Linked DNA regions of Mus musculus: all the other regions are reported to be linked to region 4. Evidence: microRNA targets listed by miRTarBase, many of them from high-throughput screens and not tested one by one. Region 4 holds a microRNA gene; each other region holds the end of a gene's coding sequence.
Evidence for each region. Region 4 holds the annotated microRNA mmu-miR-532-3p (CCUCCCACACCCAAGGCUUGCA, at 2,692-2,713, opposite strand). A microRNA usually pairs through its seed, bases 2 to 8, with sites in the 3' UTR of a target mRNA and lowers its output. Matches are read on the target gene's strand: a 7mer-m8 pairs with bases 2 to 8, a 7mer-A1 pairs with bases 2 to 7 and ends in A, and an 8mer does both.

Region 1: the mRNA of Wdr25 is a reported target of mmu-miR-532-3p. Seed matches in the 3' UTR shown: 7mer-m8 at 1,096-1,102.
Region 2: the mRNA of Larp1 is a reported target of mmu-miR-532-3p. Seed matches in the 3' UTR shown: 7mer-m8 at 965-971, 7mer-A1 at 2,114-2,120 and 7mer-m8 at 2,711-2,717.
Region 3: miRTarBase lists Tmem38b as a target of mmu-miR-532-3p. Seed matches in the 3' UTR shown: 7mer-A1 at 3,824-3,830.

The regions. Positions count from the first base shown.
Region 1 is chr12:109,027,138-109,032,285 of GRCm38, forward strand. Wdr25 (WD repeat domain 25) reads left to right here. Exons shown (of 7, transcript NM_177602.3): 7 at 109-1,315. The coding sequence ends at 330. Begain (brain-enriched guanylate kinase-associated) reads right to left here. Exons shown (of 7, transcript NM_001163175.1): 7 at 5,045-5,148. Among named protein-coding and RNA genes, the nearest start is that of Gm52002, 16 kb to the right of the region's middle.
Region 2 is chr11:58,058,353-58,063,500 of GRCm38, forward strand. Larp1 (La ribonucleoprotein domain family, member 1) reads left to right here. Exons shown (of 19, transcript NM_028451.1): 19 at 207-3,682. The coding sequence ends at 413. Among named protein-coding and RNA genes, the nearest start is that of Gm12248, 32 kb to the right of the region's middle.
Region 3 is chr4:53,859,417-53,864,564 of GRCm38, reverse strand. It overlaps Tmem38b (transmembrane protein 38B), which reads right to left. Exons shown (of 6, transcript NM_028053.2): 6 at 2,547-4,683. The coding sequence ends at 4,465. It also overlaps LOC115490001. Among named protein-coding and RNA genes, the nearest start is that of Tmem38b, 36 kb to the right of the region's middle.
Region 4 is chrX:7,245,728-7,250,875 of GRCm38, forward strand. Mir532 (microRNA 532) reads right to left here and starts at 2,770; the gene lies at 2,675-2,770. All of the region lies in intron 2 of Clcn5 (chloride channel, voltage-sensitive 5), which reads right to left. Mir188 (microRNA 188) reads right to left here and starts at 2,329; the gene lies at 2,262-2,329.

The DNA.
Region 1 (5,148 bases), not on the chromosome of region 4:
AAAGATAAAGCCAGCCCTGGGCTTAGCAGCTTCCTAGCCTCAGCTCATCCTTTGCAGCGTGGGGTGAATCATGATCCCTCACAGGTAGCCTGCTGTCTCTCTCCACAGGTGGAAGGCTACGCGGTGGGCTGTGAGTGTTCCCCATGTGGTGACCTGCTGGTGACAGGCAGCGCTGATGGCCGGGTTTTGATGTTCAGTTTCCGCACGGCCAGCCGAGCGTGCACACTACAAGGGCACACGCAGGCCTGCCTTGGCACCACCTACCATCCTGTGCTGCCTTCTGTCCTCGGGACCTGCTCCTGGGGAGGAGACATCAAGATCTGGCACTAACTGGCAACTGAGACCCTGCCCCTGGGTAGGCGGCCGGAGGTTAGGCTGCTCCCGAGAGCTGCTGGGCTTCAGTGACTCGGCTATAGCATGGGGGTGAGAAGCCGTCTCGGCGCAAGCGTGTGTTAGTAAAGGTGTTTGCCGAGTGACTGGTGGGTGACACGCAATCAGTAAGCGTGTGCTCTGTATGGTTTGGTTGGTTGATTGGTCTTTTACTTGTTTGTTTGTTTTGTTTCTGGTTTTTCAAGACAGGGTTTCTCTGTGTAGCCCTGGTGGTCCTGGAACTCAGGCTGGCCTTGAACTCAGGGACCCACCTGCCTCTGCCTCCTGAGTGCTGAGATGAAAGGTGTGTGCCACCACGCCTGGTGTGGTTTTTCTTAATGTGATTTTGGCAATGAACACATATTAGCAGTGTCTTCCTGCCTTCTTACTGCAGATAGGGGAGCTTGAGATGGGACTGTCACCTGCTGGTCCTTCGGACAGTGAGGCTCTGGGGCTTGTGACTGCCCAGGAGCTCAGTGCACCTCAGCGCCCCCCACCACCACCCCACTATAAGACACCAACAACTGTGTTTCTTCCTACCCACCTCTGGTCCTCTAACTTGCTGCCTGCCCACTGCCAGGTGGGTGGTCTGTGGTGGGCAAAGCTATGCATCTGTCCTGAAGGAGTGCGAGGAGAAGCAGGGACTCAGAAGCACATAGAAGGAAGTGTGGCATGTAGGGAGTGGAACTGTTGGAAAGGATGACGAGGATTAGGAGGCGTGGCCTTGTGGGAGGAAGTGTGTCACTGGGGGTGGGCTTTGAGGTTTCAGAAGCTCACACCAGGTCCAGTGGATCTCTCTCCACCTTCAGATGAGGATGTAGAACTCTTAGCTACTGCTCCAGCGCCATGCCCGCACTCTGCCATGCTTCCTCCCACCATGATGATAATCTGAATGATGAACCTCTGAAACTGTAAACCCGCTTCAATTAAATGCTTTTTAAAATAAGACTTGCCGTGGTCATGGTGTTTCTTCACAGCAGTAGAACAGGGACGAAGACAGGAAGCCTAGCTCCCTAGGGGCCTGGAGCAGGCCTATGAGTCTCAAACACTATCAGACTTGTGACTAGGATGCCCGACGGCCCAGGGACTCACTCACAGGTTGGGGTGGGTATCGTGGTACTTAAAAGAGGTAGGGAGGGGAGGGGGGGGGAGGAGGAAGGAGGGGAGGAGGTCTGGGATGTGGCAGAGTGGTGTATGGCTTCACCCCTAACCCATTCTGCGATCTGGTCCCGGGCATGACCTGCCCCTTCCCTCCCTGCCCCAGCTCTTCATCTGTGAGGTCAGGGAAGCAGCCTGCGTGTGTGTTGGGATCTGGAAGAGTGTTGGTCATACTGAGTCTTAGGGCCAGAAGTGGCCCAGGGATGCTGTGTTAGGATATTTATTTTAGTGTCCAAGGCATTGAAGGGTACCACCATCTGGGGAAGCAGGTCAGGGCCTTGGGTTGGGCCTTGCCCCAAGGCTCCTGTGTCCTTGCTGCCACAATAGGCCAGTCCCCTCCTCCCCCGGCTGATGGCTGCCTCCTCTGTGCTCAGGTGCCACGGGGCCAATGTGCTTGTCACCCTGAGGACAAGCTACTGTCTCTTCCCCACGAGCATACAGGGAGATGCTCATTCAGGGAGCCACAGGGGTGTAACTCCTTCTCCCTCAAGCAGCATGTCCCACCCTGTGCTGTCCTGTGTGACACTCGGCAAGATCCCTGGGCAGGACTTTGTGTCCCGCCATGTCCCTGGAACATAACTGTCCAACGAATGACTTCTGCTGGGACCCAGGCTTTAGAACCAGTCAGGCACAGATCTGAAGTCTGCCTGAAGTATTGCATGACTTTGGGCAAGCTTTGTGGTTTACTCAGTGTCTCAGTCCCCCTAACCCCCACAACCCCCCTGGAGAGTAGCACGGGGCCCATGTTCATTGGGTCTTCGGGTTACTTGGATCTGTGTGGCTACCTTGTGATACTGAGCCTGTTCAGGCTGGGTACCTGGCCAGATTCGCTCTAGGCTTTGCTGTGGTGGGCCACGGGCTGGTGGGACCCTCTCCTACTGTTGACTCTTGCTTTCAGGGTCTTAGCACGGGCCAGATTTAATCTCGGTAGAGGCTGCTGGCAGGAGCTGCCTCCTTCCTTCCCACTTGAAAAACCTCATGGTGAGCTTCAGAGTGGCTGCCGTCTGCCTCATACTAGACTAGGACTCCTTGCCCAGGAAGATGGAGAGCTATGATCAGTAGCTCTCACCGTGAACCAGAGGACTGATGTGATCCTCAAAGAACTCAGGGCCCCTCGTAGCATCTTCATGAGTGTCTCCCCGAGTGCAGGCCTGAATGAGTGAGAATACAGAAGCAGGGGGGCCAGCCTTCTCCAGCCTCTCCCGCTGGCTGTCCCTCCCACTCCTGCGGCTGCCATCCAGGGTTTCTACCGTCCCCAGGATATCTTCTACCGCCTGCAGTGATCGGCTCTGCTCACTAGGCTTTCCCAGAAGGGCTAGCAGGTAGCTATCTATAGAGGGGTTCTCTGTCTACCTCTGTACCCAGCCCTCTCCTGCCAGTGTCCCTGGGACAACAGGACCATAGAGCCCTGATTAGACTCTGGGCCTACCTCCTGGTGGTATAGGATTGGCTTCTTACATGAGAAAGCTTTTGCTTTCTCATGTACACAGTGAGCCTGTTGGGACAGTGAGGGTAGGGAAAGAGCTCTTCCGACTGTCTCCTGGATGGTGCTGCCAGGATAGACGGATACCAGGATAGACAGATCTGAATCTCTATGCTGACTCAGGTCCAGGGGAACAGTCATGGCTTTCTAGTGGTCCCATTGTGGTTGCTTCCTGGTGCCATCCCTAGGGTCTGGTTTCTTTCTGCAGGGGTTGGTGCATTGTGCCCCTGTATCTACCCCTAGCTGGCTTCCTGGGCAGGAGGACAGGCATGCGTGTCCCATGTTTCCCTGCTTCTTCAAATGCCTCTTCCAAAGAACATTCAGCAAGACTGACTTTGATCCTAGCCGAGGTGCCGGGGAGTTCACCATTTGCAATTTAAAAATAGGCAAAGCTAAATTTGGCAAGCACGGAGAAAGATGAACCTGGAGTGTGGGTTCTCCCTCCACCCGCCCTCCCCGGCCCAACTCACCCCATCCCACTTTCACATCTGCAATCTGCAGCATCAAAGCAGAGGGATCCTGGGAGCAGAGCTGCCTTGTCTAGAGATGCCTGTACACGTTGGACCCACTCCTGTCTTGCTCTCCGAGTCAGGTTGTGACTTTCATCTGAGTTGTACTAACACACATCCCCCGACCCCCACCCCCACCCCCGCAGGGTGGCCATGGCCCTCCGTGTCTTGCTGAGGAGGCTCCTTCTTAAAGGGCACAGAGGCATGGCAGGACCACCTGTCCCTGAAGCCTGCATCCTTGATTCCTTTCACTGTCTCCCAAATGGCTCTCCATACTCCACCAACCCAGCTGGACTCCATACAGGAGGTTGCCAACCATCTAGAAGGCCCAGGAAAGGGCCAGTGTCCTCTGGATAGAAAGAAAGGGGGAAATTAGCCCTGCCTCTGGTGATAGCCAACCAGTGGGAGTGTGGCCATGCACTTCCTATTGGGGTCTCGGGGGAGGGGCTATGGGTTGTTCCCAATGGTTGAGCATGGACATTGTTGTAGACTAGGCAGGGTCTGAATGGACTCCTGAGAGGGTGGTCTGTGAATGAGGGGTCCCCTACCAGGCTTCACCTGGTAATCTGGGCATATGGGGACTGGCAGGAGCTACTGTCCCCTATGACAACAGGTATGGGCACAGAACATTGGAAACTAGTGGCCCCAGGGCTCTCTTGTCAGAGAGGCACCAGAGAGCACGGACTGTTTTAGAATGTCCTGCTGTCATCTACCTGGGCCTTTGCTGGAGTTCGCTCGTGAACTCCTGTGCATCCTTCAGTAGCTGGTATGAGCTTCTCCTGACCCCATCTCCTCTCTCCTCTAGGACAGTGAGAACTCTCCCTGATTTGGAGTCTATGAGGCCCTTTATCCTTAAAGTTCTGAGCCTAGCATTACATCTGTCTCCCTCTCTCCCAGCTTCTTGGGGGTGGGTGGGGCAGGGCCAGCATGGGGCTGGCTGGATGGCTCTAACACAGGGGACAAAAGGAAATCATGAGACCTCAACCCAGAGATCTGGGGAGAGGGATGCACAGCCTGGGGGTTCTGCGCAACAGCAACCCAGTGCTCTGATGGCTGCTAGCTTTGAAGGCCAAGGCAGAGCTGCGGGGCACGGAGCTTCAAGGCACAGAGCTGCGGGGCATGGAGCTGGGATGAGGTAGTTCTCAACAGGAAAGGGCCATGGGTGTCCACAGGAGGCAAATGGAGAACCCTTCTGCAGGAAGGAGCCACCGTCCTAGGCCTTGTTGAAAACCCCACAGTTCATTTTCAGGGTTTGAATGGCCGTGTGTCAGATAGCCAGGCACACAGAGAAACGGGGTGACATGAGCAGGAAGCAAAGACACAGGCCTGCGTCTGTGTCTGGCTTGCATGAACTGGAAGGCAAGCTGTGTAGACCCCTGCAGGGTGAGTCACAAGTAGAGAGACACAGCAGTGCCATCAGAGGACAGTGTTGGTGGCTCTGCCAACAGGGTCCAGTGAGGGACACCAAGGCCCCTTCTTCAGTACTGGTTAATGATGCCCGGAAAGAAACAATGCAAACCTGGGCTCTTTCCACTGCTGTCCTTTATTAAGGAGTTCGAGATACAGTACTAAGAGACTGGCATGCATCACAGAAGACAGGTTCACAGGGGTGGGAGGAGGGAGGAGCCT
Region 2 (5,148 bases), not on the chromosome of region 4:
GGTCTTTAAGGATATGGACCTAAATATAGGAAGCCTTTGACAAATTATGTGTTTGGTCCGTTTCCTTATTTCTGGTACTGTCCACATGAAAGGACAGGATGTAAATCAAACCATTGTCCTCATTTGGAGATGGAACGGAGACCTGATTGGTTCTGGAAAGTGGTGTGGCTAGTGTTCTCTGACCACTTGTGACTCCTCTGTTACAGCCCCCCATGGGCGAGGAAGGCAACCACAAGCGACACCCAGTGGTAGCAGGAGGCAGCGGAGAGGGCAGGAAGCGGTGCCCTTCCCAGTCTTCCAGCAGGCCTGCCACTGGGATCAGCCAACCCCCTACGACACCTACTGGCCAGGCCACTCGAGAAGATGCCAAATGGACAAGCCAGCACTCGGACACACTGACTTTGCGAAAGTGAATGGCCTGAAGCCCCCTGGGGTTTGTGATAGAGGGGTGGGGTGGTTGAGGATCTGTGGGGTGCCCAGAAGAGCGAACAAGAGAAGGGACAGACCTAGAGTACTAAGAATGGGCCTTTGCGCTAAGTAGCAGTGTATACCATTTGGGCTATTAGCGGTGCTCCTGGGCAGGAGCCTCCAAGTACCCCATCCCTCCTGTCACCATGACTTCCATCATAACTTCTAAGGGGGGAGGGGAAGGGGGGAGATTTTATATATATATATATATATATATACATATATATATATCAAGTTTTAAATTATTGATAGTTTGTCTGGATTACCAAAATCACTCTTTAGCCCTTCCTGCGGCTATTATGCCGACCTGTCTCCCCTGCCTCTTCCCGCTTCCCTCAAGCCAACTATGCAGCCCACCAGAAGGCTCTGGCGGTGCCCATGGGCCCCAGAAGCACCAGCCCCTTGATCACCTGGGGTTTGCCATCACCGTGTCCCTGCTGTTCCACATGCCCTTCTGCCACCTCTGGGGGAAGGAAACCAAAGGATCTCAGTGGGGGTGGGAGCTTCAGCCTCTCCCCTCGCCCCCTCGCCCCACCCCAGAGACGCTGCTCACACCAGAAGAGACTATTGAAAGATGATTCATTTTATTTTTTCTCTGACCTTTCCATCCTTGGGAAAACAGAAAAACAAAACAAAAAAACAAAAAAAAAACAAAAACGAAAATAAAAAAGAAAGAAAGAAGAAAGAAAAAAAAAAGACAAAATCGACCACTTTAAAAAAAAAAAAAAGACAAAAAACCAGAGCCCACCTACTCCATAGAAAGTGATGTCTTTCCCCCTCCTTGGAATTTTTCTTCTGTTCTGTTTTTGGAAATAATATTTTTTTAAAAGTTGCCTTATTGTGGAGCGGGAACCTGAACTAATGCCCAAATGCCTGTTTTCCTTGAGCCTCCGGAAGAGCTCCACCTGCCCGGGATGTCCCTGGACTTGGACTGACTAGAACTTTCCTCGAGACTGAGTTGCATGTACGGGGCCTCCTACCTGGAGGCAAGAGTTGGGGCAGTTCTATCAGAGCTGTGCCCAGGACACCCCTGCTGTTGCATTGTCTGAAGCCAATGTCCTGTGTCTGCACACTGTTGCCACTGTCCTTGTTGTGCTTGCTGTCGCCTCTCCAGGCCCACTCAGCTCTGCTCCGCCCCGCCCCGCCCAGCCAAGCCCTGGGAAACCCCAAGGCCAAGTTTGCTTCAGACTGTTGTAAACATAATTGGTCTTGCCTGGTACACACTTGTCCTCAGTGTGCACATCTCCCCAACTCCAGAACAAGGGGTTGAACACCCACTGATGTCCACAGCTTAGGTCTGTGTCTAACCTTAACGACCTTTGACCTCAAGGAGGTGGAGAAAAGGTACCATTCTCTAAGGGTCTGGTGTTGTCTTTCCATCTTATTACCACCACCCCCTGCAAGCCATCTCTGCCCACCCTCTCATTGGCCCTGCCTGGGATCAAGGGGGTGAGAGGAACCAAGGGCTGGGGAATCCTACCGTTTGGTGAAGCCCCATGGCAGGAAGGTATATGTGGACATAGAGTATACCTGACTTCTCTTCAAAAGCCAGACTGCCTGAGCTGCACTTGAGATGCCAGAGGAGTGGCTGGAGGCTGCTGTCACCAGGAGCTGAGGAGGGTAATGAAGGACTGAGCACACAGGCTGGGAGACTTCATGCTAACCCTACACTTGGACCTAGGTGGCACAAGGGGGTGTGGTCTTTTTGCTAGCTTAACTGAAATTTGTGTGACCCTCCTCATCGCCCAGTTCCTCTATTGTCCCAAAAGTTGGGACTGGGACACAGCATCCCAGGCTGACAAGAGCTTGCCTTCTGTCTTTGGGCACCTTGTTACTTTGAGCTCATGCCTTGCCCCACTCTGTCCTCCCGGTGCTTAGGATGTGGGAATCCCTTGTCAGCTCCTGTGACTCACTTGTCGCAAACAAATAAGGGAACAGGATCATCTGCTGCTGGGATCTGAGGCCTTCTCCTAAGTCTGGTACCTGCCCTATGGTGCACCTTCACCAAACAGTGGGCTCCCTGCTTCCCTTTCTCCTCTCCTCTCCTCACTCAGCCCTCTACTGTATATCCAGCACCACAGAACCTCAGGGCTTGAGGCCCAGCATCAGGGAAGGTGGTTTCCATCTAGGCTATCCAGACTAGGGTTGCCATTCTCTCCCAGATCCTCCCAGACCCTCTGAGGGAAGAAGCCCCTCTGGGGTGGGAAGGCAAGGCTATCATCTCAACACAGGCTGAGGAGGGGTGGGAGTGTGTGTGTGTGTGTGTGTGTGTGTGTGTGTGTGTGTATTTTTTGTGACATGTTAAGAGTTGATGTTGCGGAGTAGTTTACATCTTCACCTTCTGAAGACACTTGAATTTAGGACCGATGTATCTGTGACAAGTATGCCAGGAGTGGGGGTGGGGCACCAGAGCAAGCCACTTCCCCATCACCATCTTCCCATGGAATCCAAGACCTAAGACAGACAGCCTGCCAAATGGAACCGCCTTCATCCTCTGCCTGTGCAGGGTTAGACATCCACCTGGCCCCAGCAAGGGGCAGATGGTGGTTTGCAAACCTGTGAGCCTCAGAGCAGATTTGCTACTCGGAGGGAAGGCTGCCTGGCCCTGCTCCAGCCTGGACCGCAGGTTCAGACAGGTGCTGAGCCCCGGGTCAAGTTGTTCAATGTTTTTGTTCTGTAGCTCCTTCCCACTCCTTTTTGATGACATTTACAAAAGAAGGCAAGCTGCTTGGAAGGTCTGGACATGAGGGAAAGGGCATTGAGGACAAGGCTAATGGTGGGGAGTGCTAGAGGCTTGGGTTCCCCTGTCCCCTGGATGGGACCCCAGAGTCTCTTGTCACAGGGCCCCTAGGTTTTCCCCAGCTCCCACCCTCTCCTCCAGCCATGGTTACGGCAGAGGCAGAAGAAAACTTTGAGCCCAGTTCTCACAGGAAAGGAAAACTCTCATGGGCTTTGCAGAGAAGGTTCCACCTACGCTCATATATTGTCTTTACCATGTGCTAGGATATCACATCAACAGGACAAGAAAAATGTAAAATACTTGAATGAGCTTGTATTATAACATTAATATTATTGAGAGTGTCTGCTTCCCAGGCTGAAGTGATTCATTCATTATTCTGGTCCTGCTCTAGTCCTTTGTAATTGGTGGTAATTATTATGCTTTTCTTTTTAATACAAAAAAAATGTATAAAAATAAAAACTTGAAAAGGCAAAACACTGGCTGGTCTCCCATCTGGGACACTACTGTTGGGTGTGACAGAGAAGCCTGGTGTGTATCCCCAGATGGAGGTTCCCACCCCCTACATGAGCATGACTAGAGTACATTCTCTTAAGAGCCTTTGGCTCCTGGGCATCTGCCTGAGACAGTGCCCTTGGTGCTGCGAGTGAGTTTGGGTGCTTGGCCAATCTTGAACAACCTGGACCCTGCATGCTGTAAAGCTTGAGAAAGGGTGGAGTTGGGTTTTCACTCCCCAGGTTTTATATTTATATATGTAAGAATTGCTTATGTAGAGTTTACTTTCCTCCAAGACCATCACTTGGTAGCTTCTTACTGTTGGGTGATAGGAGGTAAGCACCAGTGGCCTCTCTTGTGTGAATTGCCAGATGAACCATACCTATCTCAGTCACATTCGTTAGGAGCAGCTGTGTCAGTTGCTCCCCGGTTGTGGGTGGTCTTAGTTCCCAAGCGTTGGGAATGGGGGCAGCAGCAACACAGATCTACTGGATTTAAGTGGAGGCTTTGTTTGTGAGGAGGCATTAAGGCCTCATTCACCAATGTTAGTGCCTTTAGGGGCAGGCCACGTACCAGGAAAGTACTGCACAGTGCTCATATAAAGAAGGGGAGAGCTACCAACCAGTGATGGTGGTAGTGTTGGGGGTAGGTTGATACTTGAAGGAATCTAAGGGCACAGGTCGTCACCAAGGTCAGGGGACACTGGGACTGACTGCAAGGTGCTCAGTTGCCAGCTATCCCATCAGACCTTGAGGACTTGCTCTGTTGTCCACGTTGGCTCTGAACTGGGCCTAAACCACAGCAGCTGGGACTACAGTGCAAACCACTGCACCAAGCTGTTCTATATAAGCAACAACGGTGTTTTCTTGATTAACCTTGAACTAAAGATCAAAAGTTGTGCTGAAATGTAGTAAATGGTCATGTTGGCAGCTACCAGTGTGGGGCCTGGTAAAGTTTTCCTAGAGAAAGCCTCCTGCTAGATTACTTCTTATTTATCTGCAACAGATGGTCTGCTCTTTGGTTATGTTTTCTGAGGCTCCTTGTTGGGGTAGAAGACTGGTTTGGGTTTAGAGAGTAACTGACCTTGGTCCTCCCTAACATGAACAACCCCTGGGCCTGAGCCCCAGTTTGCACATAGGGTAAGGCACACGATTTGGGGTACATGTCATAATAACAGGCGCCTGTCGTCTGTCAATATTCCTTCTAAAGGGACTTGTGTTTGTGGGTAGCAAAAGTAAGCCAAGCTTCCTTGGTGGGAAGCAGGGACCACATCTAGCCTGTGACTATTCCAGGGACCCTGGCAACAGCCACCCCATTATCCTACCTAGACCACAGGGGAGTGGAGCAGAGGACTAGGCGGTTCACCCTGGCTGTTAGTGACTTGTCTTGCCTGGCTGGCCTCCAGCCTAAATACTAAGTCCTAAGTGATGCGAGAAATATGTTGGGGG
Region 3 (5,148 bases), not on the chromosome of region 4:
ACGTGGTCACCCTGCAACTGGACTCCAAGATTATTTGGCGGGAATCCGGTCCCTCCCCATTCTTCATAAATGAGTGTCGGAAATAAAAAGTTGAGCTTTGATCAGAATGCCTGTTTTAGCTGCATCATTTTCTTGCCCACCTAGCCCTTCTTCTCTTCCAGGTTTCCAAAATGCCTTTCCAGCCTAGAACCCAAACATGTAGTCGGCTGGCCAGACACAACACACTTTATTCAGGGTGAACCAGGGATTAATACCCAGTAAGGGAAGCTCATTGGCTGAAGGCGTGGAGCTATCCCAGTCCGCAGTGGGGTGTCATGGTTCCGGAGAAGGTGCACAGACAGGCAGGAAGCGGCTCCACTCCTACCGGTCTCAGATTCCCGGGGTCTGAGCTCACTCAACCTGTCCAGTTCTCACGTCTATCTGGTAACATGGTTCCACATGGGCGCAGATAATTCAGAGGAAGGCAGTCAGATGGTCAACAGACACTAAGTGTTCAGAATCATTAGCCGGAGTAACGAAAGCCTCAGGCCCCAAAAAGCATCCCCTAGAAATGGGCAAAATTAAAACGTTGACAATACTGAGACTCTGGCTAAGGACACAGATCAACTAGAACATTCAAGACACTGTCCTGGAGCATTAAATGGTACAATCACTTTGGGAGGAAGAAAACACACAAGTTGCTTTGTTTTTATAAAATCAAGCATGATCCACCATATCTTCTACCATTTGTCAAAAAGAACATAATTAACAAAAGCTGCACAAAAGTGTTCATAATTGTTTATTTGAAACACCCCAAGTTAGAAACAGCCTGATGTTCATCAGCAGGGTGACTGAATGGTGGAACTTAAGTAGACTATGAGCTTTGGATAAACACAAGTTACAAGCGTCTAAAAATACGTTAAGTTTCTAAGATAGCTACATGAGCTAAGATTCCTTTTATATTATGTCCCTTGGGAGAAGGAATTGACTGGATATTAATTCCCTGGAGTCCTTGTAATATTCACGTTCTGGTCAGGAGTTCACAGCCATTGGTGTTTGTTTAAACTCAATTTCTGAGGTGAGGGTAGAGTGGTAGGTATAGTGTTTGCAGTGAGAACCCATGTTCAGATCCCCATCACCTATGGAGAGAGCTATGATACCAGTCCAGGGATCGCAGGGCTTGCTGCTTAGTGTAGTCGGCCTGGTGAGCTCCAGGTTAACTGAGACCTCATCTCAAAAAGAGGATTAGGGAATCGAGACAGCTCAGGGGGTAAAGGAACTTACTGCCAAGCCTGAACCCAAGTTCACTCCTGGTCACCCACCTGGTGAAAAAGAATAGACTCCTGGGGGTGGGGGTGCTGGAGAGATGGCTCAGAGGTTATGAGCACTGACTGCTCTTCTGAAGGTCCTGAGTTCAAATCCCAGCAACCACATGGTGGCTCACAACCATCTGTAAAGAGATCGGATGCCCTCTTCTGGTGTGTCTGAAGACAGCTACAGTGAACTTAGATATAATAATAAATAAATATTTAAAAAAAAAAAGAATAGACTCCTGGAAGTTGTCCTCTGTCCTCCATACACACGCCATGGCACACCCATGCCCACACATGCACACCCCCAACCGTGACCTCTACCCTCCATCTGCACACCTGCACAGACACAGGGAGGAATCCTGAGGTGCACAGGCACTTACCAACTTTACTTCATGTAAAAGATGGACAGTAAGAATAAGTTGTGTTAGCTAAGCAGTCCCAGCACACCGTAAACCAGGACGGGGAAGCCTGGAGTTCCAAACAGTCTGTACTACATTCAAAGTTCCAGGCCCTGTGCACACCGACAGTCTCTGAATTCAGTCCTGTTAGGTCAGGAAGACATGTACCCTGTCATCCATCCCCTCCTGAGGGGACCTTACAGTCTTTCTACCTCTTCTTCCAAAACATCTTAAACACGGTTCAGTTTTTAACATTCTTCTCTATTGCAATCAACTTGTGACTTGAAGTAGATATTTTCCCTTAAGTCCGTTTTAATTAGAAAGTCACGGTGTGCTGAAAGAAACAGATTGCACCCAGTGAGGTGTGCACCCTTCACTCCCTCACTGCTCTCAGTCTGGAAAGGCCACTGGTCCGAGTTCCCAGTGAAATCCACCTAACACATACCTGGTCTCTCTCTCTCTCTCTCTTACTGAAAACTGTCAGCAAGGAAGAATGAAGAATCTGGTGACCTGGGTTGAAAGTATTTAGGCACATTCTGCTAGGGGCTCCATCACTGCCCCCAGGGGGCCATGGTCCAGCAGCTTCCGAGCTCCCCTAGGTGAGACTGGGCTGTGTGAAGCTGGCCTATGGACCACATCTAGGATTCCCGGTAGGGAAGGAATAAAGAGCTGGTCTCTGAGAGTCGACTGCCTGCGCAGATCCAGGGTAGGAGGTCTTAAGCCTAATCCATTCTCAAGTGCCATGTCCCCTTCAGACTGTGAGTCACGAGTATCAAAATAACACAGAACTCTGAACTTCTTCCTCAAAACAATACCAAAAAAAAAAAAAAAAAAAGAAGAAGAATACCCCTTGCATACTAAAATACTTATTTTAATGAATTTGTTTTTAATACAAATGAAAAACAAGATTCTTACCATTTTAACTACAGTTAAAACCAGAACTGGTCAATAACATATTAATTTTGCAAAGTTTTTAACTACAGATTGTCAAATATATAATAGAAAATGCAATTTAGTGCTTTTTTGTCACAATATCAAAAATAAGCATTTTTCTCGTACGTAGGTTATCAAAAGTGCCACTCAAAATCTTTTTCTTAATCAAGTAAAGTATCTGCAAGTGTGCAAGTTTGCTAAAAATTAAAAAAGGAACCGTCAGTGCTATTATATAGAAAAACCCTGTTCTGAAAAACAAAACAAACACAAAAAAAAAAAACAAAAAAGGAAAACTTTATATATTGAATATCACTTAAGTGCTTCTTAACCAACCAAAAATGCCTAACACAGACGGCAGGCCCACGTCCTTAGGATGAAAGTCATCCTACAGAACTGTAATGTTGTAACATGGCAGTTATGCACCAAATCGAGCAAATAGAATCTATCACTTAGTATGTTTGCTTGCTTGCTTTTTACTTTGTCCACGAGACAGCAGGTTTAATGTTGTATTGTCTCAGTCAAGTAGTCTGCCACATAAGGTTAGGTTCTGTGGTTTACATCAAATGTGGGAAGACAGTCCTCAGGAGAGCTGAGCATTTTCACAGGAAAACAACTTTCATTTCAGATAAAACTAGAAATACACGCACATATCTATTGAGCAGAGATACCAAATGCAAACTTGCAAGAAGAGACAGTCAAATAAACTCGTGAAGCAATGATCGCCGGAAGAGGTGCAGGACACCGTTTCAGCCATGACAGTACTTTTTGTTCAGTCACAGAGACATGCCACCAGCCTGTTCAGACCAACTGAGTCAGGAGAAACATACAACATGTGAAGACTATCTCTCTCCAGCTGGTGACACAAAACAGCCCAGGTTCCAACCACAGGATTATTAACAATAAAAACTACACCGCTAGCCTGGCACGGTGGCCCGGACCCATAATCCCAGCACTTTGGAAGCTGAGGTAGAAGGTCTGTGGCCAGCCTGGGCTACAGAGTGAGACTCCTGTTGCAAAAAGAAAACAATACACACAAATTGTAACCCTGCTTTTCTAAGGAAAAAGTAGTTTTTAAAACAAGGGCAAGAAATAAACTTCAAACTGAGACTCATATTAAAAATAATGAAAAATAATACTTGAAACTAAAATAAATTTCAGGTTTTTTTTTTCAAGCCTACAGCACCCGGTATTCCCAGGCGGTCTCCCATCCAAGTACTAACCAGGCCCGACCCTGCTTAGCTCCAGAGATCAGACAAGATCGGGCGTGTTCAGGGTGGTATGGCTGTAGACAATTTCAGGTATTTTTAATGTGTGCAAGATATATAAAATAAATAACTGTATACACCAAATGTACACTATTAGTTTATTTTAGGTTAAAAAGTATTTAGGAAAAGTTCTCCATGTTCAAAATTAAATAGGAATCGTCTTCTATATACAGGAATTATACTGGAAATATGAAGTAAAAGTTTAATTCTGCAGAATTAAAACACAATTATAGTCATTCAAAAGGTAAAAAAAAATACTGAATTTTTTGTTAAATTCTTAGAATTTTGCAGTAACAAGTGAACTTTTTGTAACATTTAAAAAATTATTCTTTTATCAATATAAAACTATCCAAATAATTATGAGAATCTCTTACACCAGAAAAATAAATTCACATGATACACTCGTGACCCCAAGAGCTACGACCAGCAGAGCGAGCGGTGTCCCTGAACCAAAGCACTTCCTCTTTTGTCTCCTCCACCCTTACACATAAGCGCTCTCTCACATCATTCACAGAACCACGGGCACACTCTGAGAGAAGTAACTCCTCCTCCTGCCTCCGACGCCCAGGGCGACCCTCAGTCTTCTTTCTTGGCGTGTCTCTTAGCACCACCCGAAGGCTCTGCTCCCCGCTTCGATGCACTTGAGGCAGAACCATTGGAAGACGGTTTGACTTCAGTTTTCTTTTCACTCGATGAAAACTGCTGCTGCTGCCGCCGGCCAAAAAGCATCCGAGTCAGGGTGTCCTCAAAGGGAGTGAGAGTCACAGCAGTATCCTTTGTCATCATCATGGTTACCTAGGGGGAAAAATTAACTTTGAATTTCAGTACAAACACTTTTTGTTTCTTAAAACCGAGAGAGAAAAATAGTGGGCAAAGGGATTCAAATGTATTTTTCATTTAATCTGTAGGAGAAAAAAATATGGTAAATTCTGGGAAAAATCTCAGATCGCTAAGAATTTAAAGATTATTCATTAAAAATGTACCTGATACTGGTACACCAAATGAAGTATAACCATTACTACCAAAACTTAAAAAGAAAAAATAACAAGAGAGAGAGAAATAGACAGATGATAGACAGACAGACAGATAAGGAAGTCAAGGGAAATGAGATATAATCTTTTTTTTAGATGAGATATAATCTTATCTAGCATCTACACATACAGCCAATACAGCTATCATTACTATATGTCTGGCATGGGTCAGAATTGTAAATACTTTATACTCCTCTCTACTTTGAACTTAATGCAACAATTAATGTTG
Region 4 (5,148 bases):
TAACTACTAGAGCCAAAGGACTGAAGGCCAACTAAGCTTGACTTTCAGCGACAGGGTCTATATTGGCACAGTACTCACTAAGTGGCCTATGGTAGCCTCAAACTTGCAATGATATTCCTGTCTTCATACCTTAAGTGCAGAGTTACAGACATGTGACACCATATTTGAAGAAGCTCACACTGGCAGAAGATGGAAGATTTGGGCTTCACTGCAGAGAAGAACTGCAATGAGGGAAAAACTAAATACATTTAAATCCCTGTGTTTATCAAAATAGTTTTTGAATGCATATCTTTGCAATAACTCATTTTTAGCCCTGATAAGAGAGTCAAGCATTTACCTTTTCTTTCTTAGGAAAACTGTTATTAGTAGGTAATCAAATAGTAAATGAGGGGAAGTTTTTACTTTACAGAAGTTACCCAGCAATTAACAGGAGGGTGAATAGTGGAATGCCACCATTCTACAACTGCTAATGAAATAATGGCTCTAGGATTTGAGCATCAATGGCAAACTACCGTAACACACAAAGACCTGTATCTCTGAATGGAGGCAGTTCTTTCCTCCCCACAAATTAAGCCTGAATCTAATAAGGCTCTTGGATACAACTCTCAATTAATAGGAAATGCAAATAAAAGGAGCATGGAAGCTACATCAGAGGAATGTGCTCATAAAAACACAAGACTGTGGAAAGCCACGCAGATATATGACCTACTTTCTTCCAACAAATAAGTATGAGGAAAAAGGTAAAGACGGGCTTATAATTCAAAGGCACTTAAAATACTGGCCAATGAAATTAATGCAAGGGTCTTATTTAGATCCTAGTTTATGATACCTCCAAAAGAAATGGAAATTTGAACAATGGATATATGATGTCAAAGAATCGGTAATTATTTCTAAACATGATAATGGCACAATGACTTTTGTTGGATTACAAAAAGAAAACAATCCTTCCTTTTGTGCAGATTCACACTAATCATCAGTGCTCTTCCCTCCATCTGTGACTGAAGCCTTCCACACTTCTGCTGCTGCTTCAATGGCATTGATGCTCTCAGTACACAGCAGCCTTTCCTAAAGGCTCCACTGGAAACTGAAATGCCACCACTTTCCCTACTATTGTCACTCCACGCATTACATACTTGTTTCCCTTGCTTTTTCATTCTCCTGGGCAACAATGACCCACTGCGTGTTTAATCATTTTGTTTACTGCCTTCATCTCCCTAATAGCCCTGATTAGTGCTGTGTACGTGGGTGCATAGGAAAATACTCAAAGTAAAAAAGATAACCAAGCGACATTTGCTGAATAGCCTACCAAACAAATCAGCTGTGAACCCTGGGTCTGGAACAGGATGAGGAAAAAAGTTCCAGCTTTCAAGAGAAAGAGTTTCAGTATCAAACAAAAAAGAACTATCCAAATAAATGTCTTAAAGCTATCATACACTCTCCTGCACAAAGAAATATATATGTGAGAAAGCAGGACACAGTGCGGGTTTTTCCACTCCCTGAAATCTAGTATATATGTGAACAAATGCATCTAAAGAAGTACGTGCAAATTTCCTCATAGCATAAGCTTATGAGAAATAGCTAGATGGCTTTCTTTCCAGCTAACTTGAGAATGAGAGTCCTGAGAAGGCTCTCTCTGCTCCCCTATATACAGGAAAAGCAAGACCAGGACAAAAGACTTCCCTTCTTTCTAAGCAATAACTGTCACCAAAGGTAAGGGTCCATACTCTGTACAAAATACAATACAAAATTAGAAGGTAAGAAGGCTGGAAATATAACTCAGTTGATAAAAGTATGCCTAGAACTCACAGAACCCTGGGTTCCATCCCCAGCACAGCAGAAACCAGGCGTACATTCCTATAATCCTAGCATTCAGGACAAAGAGGCATGAAGATCAGAATTGGAACATCAAGCCAGGCATAGCCACTCCAGTCTTATATCTAGCACTGAGAAGGCAGAGGCAGGCGAATTTCTGAGTTTGAGGCCAGCCTGGTCTACAGAGTGAGTTCCAGGACAGCCAGGGCTATACAGAGAAACCCTGTCTCGAAAAAAAGTGCTCCATCATCATCCTTAGCTATGCAGGGAGTTCAAAGGCAGCATGGGACACATGAGCCCTCCCTGGAGAAAGAAAACTGTGAGATGTGCATGTCAGGTGGAAGACAGGACAGATGGCTGTTTCCTTGGGTATGTGGGGTTTTCTTTATGAAGTTGTGTATGCATATGTCCACCATGCACAAGAGAGCAAGGAAAGCTGAAGCTCACCATCCTGCAAACCCTGCATGTGGGAGGGGTTTTCAGAGAGCTCACCCTCCACCATGCAAGGGATGTGAGAGAGGGAGCAGGGAAGGGTTCACTCTCTTGGCACAACAGGTAGGTACTTTCTATGGAAAAAGCAACAGAAAGCAGCCCAGGGATCACGCAGAAACAACAAACCAGCTACATGAAACTGATGGTGGGTAAGGCAGGAGGAACACACACATGCGGACCAAGAGGGGCATTACAGGCAGGAAAGTCACTTGGAAGAGATAGCGAATGGCAATGCTGTGTGTATATATATACATATATATATATGTATATATATATATATATATGCGCCACACAGAGAGCACATGAGAGAGAGGAGACATGTCTTTGCTGTAGATGTATATGCAGTCATGCCTATGCACAGGAGAGAGAAGAGAAGGCTTGCTCTCCTGCAAGCCTTGGGTGTGGGAGGGTAATTAAGATGTCAACGGTCCTACACTCAAGGCATGGAAGAGAAAAAGCAAATCTGTAGGCGTGCTCTCCTGTGTACAAATCAGCATGCATGTACAACAGTGTGTCTTTGTCTGTGTTGTATGTTGGTCCTGAAAGGTATGATGACTGCCTTAGACATAGCACAATGAAAAGGTGTATTTGTGAACATGCACATATATGCCTTTAGGAGTGTTCACTTCCTATGGACTATTTGTTTTTATACTCTTAATTATTCATTTTATTTATTCACTTTATATTCCACTCACTGCCCCCTCTTCCAGTTGTTTTTAATATTCTTTTCTTTTTATTCCCAATGCCAGTTTATATTTGCTCTTGGTAGAGTATTAAGTTGTGGTAATTTGTTAAGCTCTTCTATGTTTCTTTTTTTTAAATTAGATATTTTCTTTATTTACATTTCAAATGTTATCCCCTTTCCTGGTTTTCCCTCTGAAAACCCCCTTTGCCATCCCCCTCCCCCTGCTCACCAACCCACCCAGTCCCACTCCCCTGCCTTGGTATTCCCCTATACTGGTGCATCGAGCCTTCTCAGGATCAAGGGCCTCTCCTCCCATTGAGGTCCAACAAGGCCATCCTCTGCTACTTATGCAGCTGGATCCATGAGTCCCTCCATGTGTACTCTTTGGTTGGTGGTTTAGTCCCTGGGAGCTCTGGGGCTACTGGTTGGTTCATATTGTTGTTTCTGCTATGGTGGATGCTCTCATCCAACCACTGGATGAGAGCATTCACCTGAACCTCCACATAGCTAACACACTCCCCTCCCACATTCCTGAGCTAAAATTTATTAAATCTATATTTTATCTTTGCTGTCCTGAACCCTTTTGGGCAGCCCTTCTGGGGCCACCTTCCCCTTTGTGTAGTCTCCCCTCCCCCAGCCTGAAACCTTGCTTGCTCAGGGGTGGAGCTTCCCGCTCAATCTTTCTGCCACGCCTACTGCTGGAACCTGCCGCTTTGCTGTTCCGAAGCCATCACGTGATCACCCTGCTACTGGATCCCAAGATTATTTGGCGGGAATTGGGCCCCTTCCCCCTTCCTTTATAACTGAGTGCCAAAATAGTAAAAATTGAACCGTGAGCAGAGAGCTTTGTCTTGGTTCCTTCCTTATCTCGCGCAGCCCAGCCCCTCTTCTCTTCCAGGTTTCCAAAATGCCTTTCCAGGCTAGAACCCAGGTTGTGATCTACTGGCCAGACACAACACCTTTGTACCTACATTTCAGCTGTCTCTCCCTCCTGTACCTTCCCTGCATAGTCTGTCACTTGTGCCCTTGTCATTGTGGAATCCCCTCTTCCTTCTCTGCTGTGCTTCTTGCTGGGGAATCCTGCAAGTCTGGCTTCTGTCTCCCTGCCCAGTCACTGGTCACTGGCAACTTTATTTCCCAATCAGAGCCAACTAGGAGCAGAGACCCTCAGCACAGACATGTGGGCTCCCATATGATTTCAGGAGCCAAATTAACACAAATAACATTAGAACCAATCTGCAACATTAAGTACTTTTCATATACAACTAATTTGTTCCCACAAATATCTATGAAGTAATGATCATGTTCCCTGTCCTACAGATGAAACAATACCAGGTCATACTTAAAGAACAGCTAGAAAGAATGATTATAGGATATAATCTGGGTGTAGCAGTACACCCTCCATAATCTCAGCAATGAGAGGCTGAGGCAGGTGAATAGCAAGTTGGAGACCTGACTGCTTTACATTGTACAATCATGTGATCAAAATAAAAATCAACAAACAAAAAAGAAAGCTGAGAATGTGTAATGTGAGCCATCAGAAAGAAAGCCGGAAAAGTGGGCTTTATCTCCTGATCATATTTGTGTGCTCACACAAAAGGTAGAGCACAAGGCTTTTGAGCCCAGGGAAGAGGTAATGAAAGTGGAAGTACTAGAGGCAATGGGATATTAGCCACTTCTAATGTGTGTTAGATTGGACCTGTTTTAAAAGTACAGCCAACTGCATTTCATAATGCCTTGGACTTAAAGTCTAAAAAAATAAATTTCAAAGATCCTTCCAGAGACTCAACCTACTCAAATGCTCTGTAATCTTGGCTTGAGCACCTAGGGGATGCAGCTGTTGTTACACAACACTGGAAGGGGAGCTGGTCTGTTTGAAAGGCAAGGGAAGAAAACCAGGATTTCGGCTTTGGATGCATTAAAGTTTTAGATGCTTATTAGACACCTGGGGCAGATGTCTAATATACAATTGAATGAAAACATATGGAATTCAGCAACATAAATATGAAAGTAAATACCTACGAAGGAGGTATTTACTTACAAATACAGCTGCAAGACCAGATTAGCTCAAGATTGATGAGAAGTGGAAAAAGTCCAAAGCTTAAACCAGATATGATAGTTAATCTTCATTATTTTATCAACTTGATTGGATTCAGAAT